Macaca mulatta: one gene and its partners. The protein of the gene in region 1 interacts with the protein of each later gene in a biochemical or structural test. Links are inferred from orthologs where the notes say so. Each region holds a gene or a part of one and is shown on either strand. Other genes may lie near its edges.

Region 1 (3,645 bases):
GAACCCGGGAGGCGGAGCTTGCAGTGAGCTGAGATCCGGCCACTGCACTCCAGTCTGGGCGACAAAGCGAGACTCTGTCTCAACAAAAAAAAAAAAAAAAGAAAATGCAGAAATCACCGGTCTTCTGTGTCGCTCGTGCTGGGAGTTGGAGACTGGAGCTGTTCCTATTCGGCCATCTTGCTCCAAGAGTGTTTTCTTTTGGGGAATACTAAGGAGCCCCTGGGAGGAATGACCACAGCGGAAGCAAGCCCTGTAGTTACAGGCATTAATTCAGTAGATACACAGGGAGTGGCGAGTGTGTACCAGACACTGTTCTAATGGACAGAACATACCCAAGTCTTTTTGCCTTTATGAGTTTATATTCTAGTGCAGGGGTGTTCAATCTTTTGGCTTCCCTGGGCCACATAGGAAGAAAACGACTGTCTTAGGCCGCACATAAAAAACAGTAACACTAATGATAGCTGATGAGCTAAAACAAAAATTGCAAACAAAACTCATAATGTTTTAAGCTTTATGAATTTGTGTTGGGTCGCATTCAAAGCTGTTGTGAGCCACATGTGGGCTGCAGGTGGGACAAGCTTGTTCTAGTGGGTAGAGACACATAATAGATGGAATAAACAGTGAATGTATGTAGGTGTTAAGAAGGGAAACAGGAAATAGCTAGGTGTTTAGAATAGGGAAGTTGGGGTCTGGCTCATGAAAAGATCCCTTGCAGTGGTGGTCTCAGCCACTTGCAGTACAACTAGGCCTTCCTGCTTAGAACTCACACTTCGGTCATCACTCTGACTATTTCCTGGTCTACATTCTTGATTTTTTTGTTGTTGTTGAGACGGAGTCTCACTCTGTTGCCCAGGCTGGAGTACAGTGGAGTGATCTTGGCTCACTGCAACCTCTGCCTCCTGGGTTCAAGTGATTCTCCTGCCTCAGCCTCTGAGTAGCTGGGATTACAGGTGCCTGCCACCACGCCCAACTAATTTCTGTATTTTTAGTAGAGATAGAGTTTCACTGTGTTGGCCAGTCTGGTCTCGAACTCCTGACTTCAGGTGATCTGCCCGCCTCGGCCTTCTAAAGTGCTGAGATTATAGGTGTGAGCTACTGCGCTCAGTCCCTTGAAGATTTTTTATGATTTCCTCCTCTATGCTATTTATTTTCAACCATTCATGTACCCTTTTGAAGCTTGTTTATTTTAGGGATCTGCTGTGTACCAGCATATATGCCTGCCATTTTATTGAATTCCTTTCCAGTCCTTTCAGTAACCCTCTGCAATGGGTATTACCATCCCCGTTTTACAGTGGTAGAAACTCAGTCTTTAACTCATCAGGATTCAAACCCACATCTGACTCCAAAGCCTCCTCTGCCCTTTCTTCTCTTCCCCAGTGCTTTTTTCACTCACTAGGTCACCAAAGTGCTTATTCTTAGACACTTGTAAAAGGACATTTTCTGTTGATTATGAACCTCTAACTTTGTTTTAAAAGTGTGCCACGTCCCAAGGGTCTTATGTATTTATTTATTTTCCTAGAGTAAACCTGGGCTTTTGTTTTCTTCCCTTTAGATGCTCTGCTTCTGTACTGCCAGTGGATGTGCAGACACTAAACGCATCTGGGCCACCGTTTGGAAAACTAGTGGTTCAGAGTTCCATAGATTCTAGTGCATTCAAGCACAATGGCACGGTTGAATGTAAGGCTTACAACGATGTGGGCAAGACTTCTGCCTATTTTAACTTTGCATTTAAAGGTAACAACAAAGGTATATTTCTTTTTAATCCAATTTAAGGGGATGTTTAGGCTCTGTCTACCATATCAATCATGATTTTAAGTTCATTCCAACATTGACCATGTCATTTCTGGTAATACGTACATCACACCATACTGTCATCAAACTCGCTATGTTTCATTTTGTACTAGCTTGTTAAGTATATGTTTTTACCAGAGCACTTTTAACCATGCTACTTTATATATTTTATATGTATGTGCGCCTCTTTTATATTAGTTGTATATTTACAATTGTCTCCATTAAAAAGGGGTAGAGAAAGCAAATGGGGGGGAATATATTTACCTTACACCCAAACAGAATTAGAACAATCTAACATTTAAATTCAATTAAAAATTTCAATTATTTAAAGTGAATTATTTTAACACTTTGCCAGACACTGTATCCAAAAGTTAACACTGCCTTTATGAAGTCATGTTAGCAAGTTATTTCTTTAAAATATTTAAAATTTGATTCATGTGTGACTAACTCTCTTAACATAAGTTAAAAGTTCCTTGTGGGCAAATTGCTGAATTGGTACAAAGTGGGAAGACAAAGAAAGTGGGCACTTACTTTTTAGGCCTTCTTGGGTTTTGTTTGTTTTTTGTGTTTTTTTTGTTTGTTTTGTTTGTTTGTTTGTTTGTTTTTTTGAGTCAGCAAAGACTAGTGCCAAAAAGTGGCGTATTTTCTCAGGTTTTGAGTAATGAGGGGAAGAATCTTCCATTGTTCTACATCATCGATTTTTCAGACGGGGCAACGAAAAGCATACCTTAAAAATGGTGTTTTTTTTTTGTTGTGAAAGACATTCATGCTCAGTGTAGAAAATTTAGAAAATACAGGAAAGTGTAAAGAAGAAAATATAAACCATCCATAAAGGAAGCTTCTTTTTAAAAGTTGTACAAGGCAGGGATTTGATTGAAGTACAAAGTGCATTCAGATGTTGCTTTTCATTGAAAAACAGCATAAATTATTCCTTTTCTACAGAAATCTCAACTTCTATTCTGCAGTATTCTGGTTTCAAGTTATATTTTTAAAGATTCATTTGAATAACAAGAGTACGATGTAACCAAGGTGAAGCTCTGAGAGTCACATAGCTTTGCTTCCTGCCATGGGCTGTGAGTTGGGAGGTCAGTTTGGGAATGAGTGGCTGTGGTAGAGATCCCATCCTGCCAAAGTTTGTGATTCCACATTTCTGTTTGATTTTAGAGCAAATCCATCCCCACACCCTGTTCACTCCTTTGCTGATTGGTTTTGTAATCGTAGCTGGCATGATGTGCATTATTGTGATGATTCTCACCTACAAATATTTACAGGTAACCATTTATTTGTTCTCTCTCCAGAGTGCTCTAATGACTCCGACAATAATTCTTAAAAGGTGATCCATTTTCCCCTTTCTCCCCACAGAAACCCATGTATGAAGTACAGTGGAAGGTTGTTGAGGAGATAAATGGAAACAATTACGTTTACATAGACCCAACACAACTTCCTTATGATCACAAATGGGAGTTTCCCAGAAACAGGCTGAGTTTTGGTCAGTATGAAACAGGGGCTTTCCATGTCACCTTTTTGGGTACACATAACAATGACTTTAAGGAACTCCAGTAGCTTCCTTTGTTTTGTTCCACCTGAAACAATGAGTTTTCTGTGAAATTGCACCCCTTTTGATAGGTTTGGCATAGAGAACATTGTAGGAAAATGTCTCTAGACAAAATTGTTTTTAATTCCTTTATTGATTTTGAAACTACATAAATGATCCTTCAATTCCACCACCAGCACCACCACCACTTACCTTGTTGTCTTCCTTCCTACAGGGAAAACCCTGGGTGCTGGCGCTTTTGGGAAGGTTGTTGAGGCAACTGCTTATGGCTTAATTAAGTCGGACGCGGCCATGACTGT
Region 2 (3,645 bases), on another chromosome or scaffold:
ATGTTGGCCAGGCTGGTTTCGAACTCCTGACCTCAGGTGATCTGCCCACTTCAGCCTCCCAGAGTGCTGGGATTACAGGTATGAGCTGCTGCGCCTGGCCCGTTTTATATTTATTTTATAGACACCAATAATATACTCTCATTGCAACATGGAAATAACAATAATAGCAGACAGTCTTTCTTAAGCATTTTCTATGTTCTAGGGCTTTATGTCTATCAATTCATGCTCATAATATGCCTATGAAGTAGGCATGATCATGGTTCCCCTCTTACAGATGGGGAAACTGAGGCAGAGTAGTAGTCACATAAGTCACTTAAGGTCCCATAACCAATAAGTAGTGGTTGCTGGGCTTTTTTTTTTTTTCGAGACAAGGTCTTGCTCTGTAACCCAGGCTGGAGTGCAGTGGCACCATCTCAGCTCACTGCAACCTCCACCTCCTGGATTCAAGCATTTCTCCTGCCCCAGCCTCCTGAGTAGCGGGACTACAGGTACGCGCCACCACAGCCAGCTAATTTTTTTTATTTTCAGTAGGGATGGGGTTTCACCATGTTGGCCGGGCTGGTCTCTACCTCCTGAACTCAAGTAATCCACCCACCTGGGCCTCCCAAAGTGCTGAGATTACAGGCATGAGCCACCGCGTCTGGCTGGTGCTGGGATTTGAATCCACATTCCAGAATCTGTGTTCTTAGCCATCCTTGCTAGAGATAAGTAGTAGCAAGCTTCTTGGTTTCTTCCCCGCCATCCCTACCATCCCCACACCCCAATTCTGATTCCTCCCCAGAAATACTCACTGTTTCAGGATGGGTTTGTTTCTGCCAGACCTTTCTTGCCCACCATTTACAAAATGTTTGTGTACACATAAACATTAGTAGTTTGGTTTTATGTATGTTCATGTTAATGGGATCGTCTAGCGTGTCTTGTTCTGCTGTTTGCTTTTTCACTTAGTGAATAGCCCTGCCCTGGAGCTCTCTCAGAGGTGGGGGGGTGGGTCTTCCTCACCCTTTCCCCCTGCTGCAGAGTCTTCCAGCCTATAGATGGGCCAGATTCTTTCATCAGTCTCCAACTGGGGGCATTTAGGTTGTCTCTTAGAGTTTTTCCCCATTATAAATGTTGCAGCAGGAAATATGTAGCAGGGAGCAAGTATTTCTCTTGAATACTTAAAAGTGGGATTCCTAGAGCCTAATTGCTCTGACTAGGACTGTCAGTACTGTGTTAAATAGAAGTGACCAGAGTGGGCATCCTTTTCTCATCCCTGGCCTTAAAGGAAAAGTTGTCAACTTTTCACCATTAAGTGCAGTGTTAGCTGTGTGCTTATCATGTAGGGTCTTTATTTTATTTATTTATTTGTTTTTTGAGACAGGGTCTCATTCTGTTGCCTGGGCTGGAGTTCAATGGCTGATCATGGCTTACTGCAGCCCTGACTTCCTCAGGCTCCCAAGTAGTTAGGACTACAGGTGCGAGTGCTACAATGCCAACTCATTTTTGTGTTTGTCTTTTTGGAGAGATGGGCTTTTGCCATGTTGCCCAGGCTGGTCTCAAACTGGGCTCAAGCGATCTCCTGCCTCAGCCTCCCAAAGTGGTGGGATTACAGGCGTGAGCCTCCGAGCTCAGCCTTTATATAGGGTCAGTGTGTTAAGTACAACATATCATCTATGCTTAATTTGTTGAAAGTTTTTATAATAAAGTTATGTTGAATTTTGTCAAATACTCTCCCTGCATCTATTGAAATGATAATACGGTTTTTGTCCTTCAAAAGCAGGATTCCAGAGTCTAGAATCAATTCTGCCAAGTTGGCCATGCCCCTTACAGAATGCCACTTGGTAGGAGAGTGTGTGTTTCCCTGCATCTTCACCAGCACTGGGTGTTATGGTCGTGTCGGATTTCTGCTGTGGTTCGCGGTGTGTGACGGGCCGTCACCTGCTTGCCCACCTGCTCACTCCTTGTCGCCCCCCCACCCACATGTCTTTCAGCCCCGCCGCACCACCTGGGTCTCCACCATGAACGGGCCTGCCCTGCAGCCCTCCTCGGCCTCCTCCCCGCCCTCGGCCTCCCCGGCGCCGGCCCCGCGGGGCTGGAGCGAGTTCTGTGAGTTGCACGCCGTGGCGGCGGCCCGGGAGCTGGCCCGCCAGTACTGGCTGTTCGCTCGCGAGCATCCGCAGCACGCGCCGCTGCGTGCGGAGCTGGTGTCGCTGCAGTTCACCGACCTCTTCCAGCGCTACTTCTGCCGGGAGGTGCGCGACGGCCGCGCACCGGGCCGCGACTACCGGGACACAGGCCGTGGGCCCCCCGCCAAGGCTGAGGCGTCCCCGGAGCCAGGCCCCGGCCTCGCCGCCCCTGGCCTGCCCAAGGCCCGCAGCTCTGAGGAACTGGCCCCGCCGCGGCCGCCCGGGCCCTGCTCCTTCCAGCACTTTCGCCGCAGCCTCCGCCACATCTTCCGCCGCCGCTCGGCCGGGGAGGTGCCAGCGGCCCACACCGCTGCCGCCGTCGGGACCCCCGGAGAGGCTGCTGAGACCCCCGCCCGGCCCGGCCTGGCCAAGAAGCTCCTGCCCTGGAGCCTGGCCCGGGAGCCGCCACCCGAGGCGCTGAAGGAGGCGGCGCTGCGCTACAGCCTGGCCGACGAGGCCTCCATGGACAGCGGGGCGCGCTGGCAGCGTGGTAGGCTGGCGCTGCGCCGGGCGCCGGGCTCCGATGGCCCAGATGGCCCCGACCGCGTGCTGGAGCTCTTCGACCCACCCAAGGTAAGTAAGCCCTGCTCGCGGGGTTGCGCACTGTGCCGCGCCCTTCGCCTTCACCCTGGGGAGAGAGCCGGCTGGGGAGGTGTGATGGCTTTCCAGCTGGTGGCCACAGAGTGCCCAGAGGGAACTAGGCCCTCTTAAAAAAGAACTTTTAGGCCAAGTGCAATGGCTCACGCCTGTAATCCCAGCACTTTGGGAGGCCGAAGCAGGAGGATCACTTGAGCCCAGGACTTCGAGACCAGCTTGGGCAGCTTAGCGAGACCCTATCTCTATAAAAAATTAGCCAGGTGTGGTGGTGCGTGCCTGTGGTCCCAGCTGCTCAGGAGGCTGAGAAGGGAGGATGACTTGAGCCCACGAGGTGGAGGCTGCAGTGAGCCGTGATCATGCTACCACACTCCAAGCCTGGGTGACAGAGTAAGACCCTGTCTCTAAATAAATAAAATAAAAAAGAACTTTTTATTTTTGAATTTTAGATTTACAGGCCAGGTGCAGTGGGTCATGCCTGTAACTCCAGCACTTTAGGAGGCCAAGGTGGGCAGATCATTTGAGGCCAGGGGTTCAAGACCAGCCTGGGCAACATAGTGAATCCCTGTTTCTACTAAAAATATAAAAAATTAGCTGGGCACAGTGGCGCACACCTATAATCCCAGCTACTTGAGAGGCTGAAGCAGGAGAATCACTTGAACCTGGGAGGGAAGGTTACAGTGAACCAAGATCACACCACTGTAGTCCAGCCTTGGTGACAGAGTGAGAGTTGGTCTCAAAAAAAAAAAAAAAAAAATTTTAGACTTACAGGAGAGTTGCAAAGATAGTAGTGTTCCTTTACACATGGTACCCAGCTTCACCGAAGGTTCATATCTTACGCTGCTGTGTACATTGGTTGTAGCTAAGGAACCAGCACTGGTACATC
Region 3 (4,399 bases), on another chromosome or scaffold:
TGTCATTTATAGCTCAGTAAGGCTGGTTAATAAAACAGACTTATAATCTAAAAAATGATAAATCATTCAAAATTCTGTGTATTATGTTCATAATCTGGCTTTTTGGGTGGTACACAATACCAGGGCTGGAGGGGAAAAGGAACAACTCCATTTCAAACTGTCATCTTTACCACTTGCTGCTTTGACTATGCCCACACTTCCATGCTTCTAAACTAACAAACTGTACAATGTAGGGTCTATTACTACACAGATCTTTTCCCAACCCTCAGCCCCCTAAAGCAGCAAATCCTTACTTGTCTGGAAGAGCAGACACCAGGAACAAAAGGCTCAATGACTATTAGACAGATTAAAGAATAGACAACTGTTTATTTAAAAGCTCCCTAAAGAATTAGAACATTTGAGGCTATACACTGTTCCGTTGAAATGCAGTTATATATTACCCAGATCCGCAAGCACTTGCCAACAGACCTGTCCAAGTCACTCACTTCCTACGAGTTCTGTTTTCTTTTTTCTCCCCTTTTTAAATTCCAGATCCATGTAAGAATAACATGCCAGGTCTGTTTGGAGGAGACATTCCTAATATTTTGAAAAATCTCATTCAGGCCGGGTGCGGTGGCTCACGCCTGTAATTCCAGCACTTTGGGAGGCCGAGGCAGGCGGATCTCGAGGTCAGGAGTTTAAGACCAACCTGGCCAACATAGTGAAACCCCGTCTCTACTAAAAATACAAAACTCGGCCGGGCACGGTGGCTCATGCTTGTAATTCCAGCACTTTGGGAGGCCGAGGCGGGCGGATCACAGGGTCAGGAGATCGAGACCATCCCGGCTAACATGGTGAAACCCCGTCTCTACTAAAAATACAAAACATTCGCCAGACGTCGTGGCGGGCACCTGTAGTCCCAGCTACTTGAGAGGCTGAGGCAGGAGGATGGCTTGAACCCAGAAGGCGGAGCTTGTAGTGAGCCGAGATTGCGCCACGGCACTCCAGCCTGGGCAAGAGAGCGAGACTCTGTTTCAAAAAAAAAAATTAGGCCGGGCGCAGTGGCTCAAGCCTGTAATCCCAGCACTTTGGGAGGCCGAGACGGGCGAATCACGAGGTCAGGAGATGGAGACCATCCTGGCTAACACAGTGAAACCCCGTCTCTACTAAAAAATACAAAAAACTAGCAGGGCGAAGTGGCGGGCGCCTGTAGTCCCAGCTACTTGGGAGGCTGAGGCAGGAGAATGGCGTGAACCCGGGAGGCGGAGCTTGCAGTGAGCTGAGATCCGGCCACTGCACTCCAGCCTGGGCGACAGAGCATGACTCCGTCTCAAAAAAAAAAAAAAAAAAAATTAGCCAGGCATAGTGGCATGCCGATAGTCCCAGCTACTTGGGAGGTTGAGGCAGGAGAATCGCTTGAACCTAGGAGGCGGAGGTTGTGGTGAGCCGAGATCGTGCCACTGCACTCCAGCCTGGGCTGTTAACAGAGTGAGACTCCGTCTCAAAAAAAGAGAAAAAAAAAGAAAGAAAAAAAAATCTCATTCAAATAGCCTCAATAGCTTGAATCGTTTTTTAAATGTCTGAGACAGTGACCATAATTGAACAACCATGGAAAAGAATAGACAATGGGTCTTAAGTGTGAGTGGTATATAGAGTGATTATATAAAATAGCAGGATCATTATCTGAAAACAAGTCACACTACTGTTTGACAACAAAATTAAGGCTTACAAGTGGTTAGCAATAGTTACAAAATAATAGAAGCAACATAGTGATTAAAAGTAGGGATTCTGTCTCCACCACCTACTAGCTGTGAGGTTAAGCAATCTACTTAACCTCTCCGAAACTCGGTTTACTCATCTTTACAATGGGGATAATAGTAGCCATCTGAGAGGGCTGTCGTCAGAATTAAGCAAATGTTAGCTATTAGTAGTAATATTACCCTGATCTTTCAAAGGATCTCATTAACTCACTAATTCTCCTTAGTTTCAAATCTTGTCATTTACTAGCATGTTGCTTCTGGGCCTCGGTTTCCTCATCCATAAAACGGGTACCAGTAAAGTGACCTGACTGTTAAGGTTGCAGTGAAGGATTAAATAACGAGATGCGGCTCCCTTCCTTTCCATCTCCCAAAGCGAATATCGCAAAGGAAGGAAATACTTCTAGTGGCTGCAGATACAGTCAGTTTTTCCATTTCTGGCACGTGAGGGGTGGGAGAAAAAGAAGACACAAAGGGGCACATAAAAGGGTCAGGGGTCCTTCGTTAAGACCCCAAATGCACGCAAGTGGCACAGTGACCCAGAACGACTAGACCACTGGGGGCCCGGCCCCGCGCAACTCCCATCTCGTGTCCCAAGGAGCCTCCCCAAGTGAGCAGGGTTATTTCGGAATCACCATGAGGCAATTCTCATGAGGCAATGGGTCAGGAATGCGGCGCTGAGCCGGGCCGCTGGCGCCCGTGGTTCCCTAGGCGGCTCTACCTGCCCCAGGCCTGACGGGCATCCCCCGGGCTGCCGCAGCCGGAACTCAGGGAGGCAGGAAATGAATGGGGACCCAAGGGGTGGGGGCGCGGTGGGGCCGGCCCCCGGGCCGAGGAGGGACAGGGGACGAGGAGGGAACTGGCCCCCAATCCCGATCCGGGGCGGGAGCCCGAAGCCCGGCCGGGGCGCCCCCTTCCGGACGGGGCTGACCGAATGCGGCGGGGGCCGGGCCGAGGCCCGGGCCGGGCCCCTCGGGGCTCCTCACCTCCGCGATGTCATGTTCCTCCCGCCCTCCGGCTCCGCGACGGACCCGCTCCTTGCTCAAGCTCCACTAGGCTCGGTCACATCGGGCTGGCCCGAGGGAGGCCCGCTCGGGACCGGACGCGGGGCAGAGCCAGCCGGCCGCGCACAGACCCCCCTCCAGGCCTGGGGATCCCGGAGACTGTGCAGCCGCCCCCCAGCCCGGCTCGCTCCTCCTCCGCCCCCGCCCTTCGCCGCCGTCGCCCCCGTGATGTCACCGCTAGCGACGCCCGCCGCCACTTCCTGCTTCCCGTTAGCCGAGGACGGAGCCACGGCCGGGAATGGCAGCGCGGGGGTTCCGCGGAGGCGCTAAGCGCAGCGTCCAAAGCATCCTTGCTTCCTCCCGGAAATCGCGGCCGCCGGGTGTGAGCTGCGCGCTCGGCGGCTACGCCACTCCACCGACCGGGCGCGTCCGGGCCCACTGCCACATCGATTTCATTCATTTCGTTCCACAAATCGCCACTCGACTCATTAGCTGTGGAACCTTGGGGAAATTACCTACTGTCTCCGAGCCTCAGTTTCCTCCATTAGGCTGGGCGCGGTGGCTCACGCCCGTAACCCCAACAATTTAGGAGGCTGCAGCAAGAGTGTCGCTTAAGCCTAGGAGCTAGAGGCCAGCCTGGGCAAAAAAGACCTCATCTCTACAAAAAATGCAAAACCCTAGCCAGGCGTGGAGGCTGCGGCGGGAGGATAACTTAAGCCCGGGAAGTCGGTGCTGCAGTGAGTCGTGATCACGCCACTGCCCTCCAGCCTGGGCGACAGCAAGACACTGCCTAAAAAAACTAGTAATAGACCGGGCGCGGTGGCTCACGCCCGTAATCCCAGCACTTTGGGAGGCCGAGGCGGGCGGATCACGAGGTCAAGAGATCGAGACCATCCTGGCCAACATGGTCTCCACTAAAAATTCAAAAATGAGCTGGACGTGGTGGCGTTCGCCTGTAATCTCAGCTACTTGGGAGGCTGAGGCAGGAGAATCGCTTGAACCTGGGAGGCAGAGGTTGCAGTGAGCCGAGGTCGCACCACTGCGCTCCAGCCTGCAATAGAGCCAAACTCCGTCTCGATAATAATAATAACAAATACTACTTTGGGGTGGGAGCAGTGGCACACGCCTGAAATCCCAGCACTTCCCTTTGGGAGGCTGAGGCGGGCGAATCGCTTGAGTCCAGGAGTTGGGAACCAGCCCCGGCAAAATAGTGAAATCCCATCTCTACAAAAAATACAAAAATTAGCCGGGCGTGGTGTCACGCGCCTGTAGTCCCAGCTACTCGGGAGGCTGAGGTGAGAGAATTGCTTGAGCCTGGAGGGTCGAGGCTGCTGTGAGCCGAGATCAGGCCACTGCACTCAGGCCAGGTATGGTGGCTCACACCTTCATCCCAGCACTTTGGGAGGCCGAGGCAGGAGGATTGCTTGAGCCTAGGAGTTCAAGATCAGCCGGGGCAACATGGCACGACCCTGTCTCTAAAACAAAAAACAAACAAACGAAAAAGCTGGGTGGTGGGGAAGTATTATTTTGGACACTGTGAAGCTCGAGGAAGAGGGCAAGGCCAGAAACGGAGAAGCCAGTCAAAATACGGGAATACTGTAGTATTCTGGTCTGGGAATAATGGTGACTCAGACCAGATTGAGAAGAGTAGAGTTTTTT

Evidence for each region.
Region 2: the proteins of KIT (region 1) and SH2B3 form a complex in vitro, tested with the Homo sapiens proteins (2 studies listed by BioGRID and IntAct, with this or other methods). The link is inferred for Macaca mulatta from reciprocal best matches to the Homo sapiens genes KIT and SH2B3.
Region 3: the proteins of KIT (region 1) and PTPN11 form a complex in vitro, tested with the Homo sapiens proteins (3 studies listed by BioGRID and IntAct, with this or other methods). The link is inferred for Macaca mulatta from reciprocal best matches to the Homo sapiens genes KIT and PTPN11.

The regions. Positions count from the first base shown.
Region 1 is NC_133410.1:78,765,655-78,769,299, reverse strand, and holds part of KIT (mast/stem cell growth factor receptor Kit), read left to right. Parts: intron 1-1,552; coding exon 1,553-1,746; intron 1,747-2,955; coding exon 2,956-3,062; intron 3,063-3,153; coding exon 3,154-3,280; intron 3,281-3,560; coding exon 3,561-3,645. UniProt on the Homo sapiens protein: Tyrosine-protein kinase that acts as a cell-surface receptor for the cytokine KITLG/SCF and plays an essential role in the regulation of cell survival and proliferation, hematopoiesis, stem cell maintenance, gametogenesis, mast cell development, migration and function, and in melanogenesis.
Region 2 is NC_133416.1:118,611,675-118,615,319, forward strand, and holds part of SH2B3 (SH2B adapter protein 3), read left to right. Parts: intron 1-1,970; 5' UTR 1,971-1,997; coding exon 1,998-2,738; intron 2,739-3,645. UniProt on the Homo sapiens protein: Links T-cell receptor activation signal to phospholipase C-gamma-1, GRB2 and phosphatidylinositol 3-kinase.
Region 3 is NC_133416.1:119,657,092-119,661,490, reverse strand, and holds the start of PTPN11 (tyrosine-protein phosphatase non-receptor type 11), read right to left. Parts: upstream 2,923-4,399; 5' UTR 2,737-2,922; coding exon 2,723-2,736; exon of another isoform or gene 1,451-2,722; intron 1-1,450. UniProt on the Homo sapiens protein: Acts downstream of various receptor and cytoplasmic protein tyrosine kinases to participate in the signal transduction from the cell surface to the nucleus. Positively regulates MAPK signal transduction pathway. Dephosphorylates GAB1, ARHGAP35 and EGFR.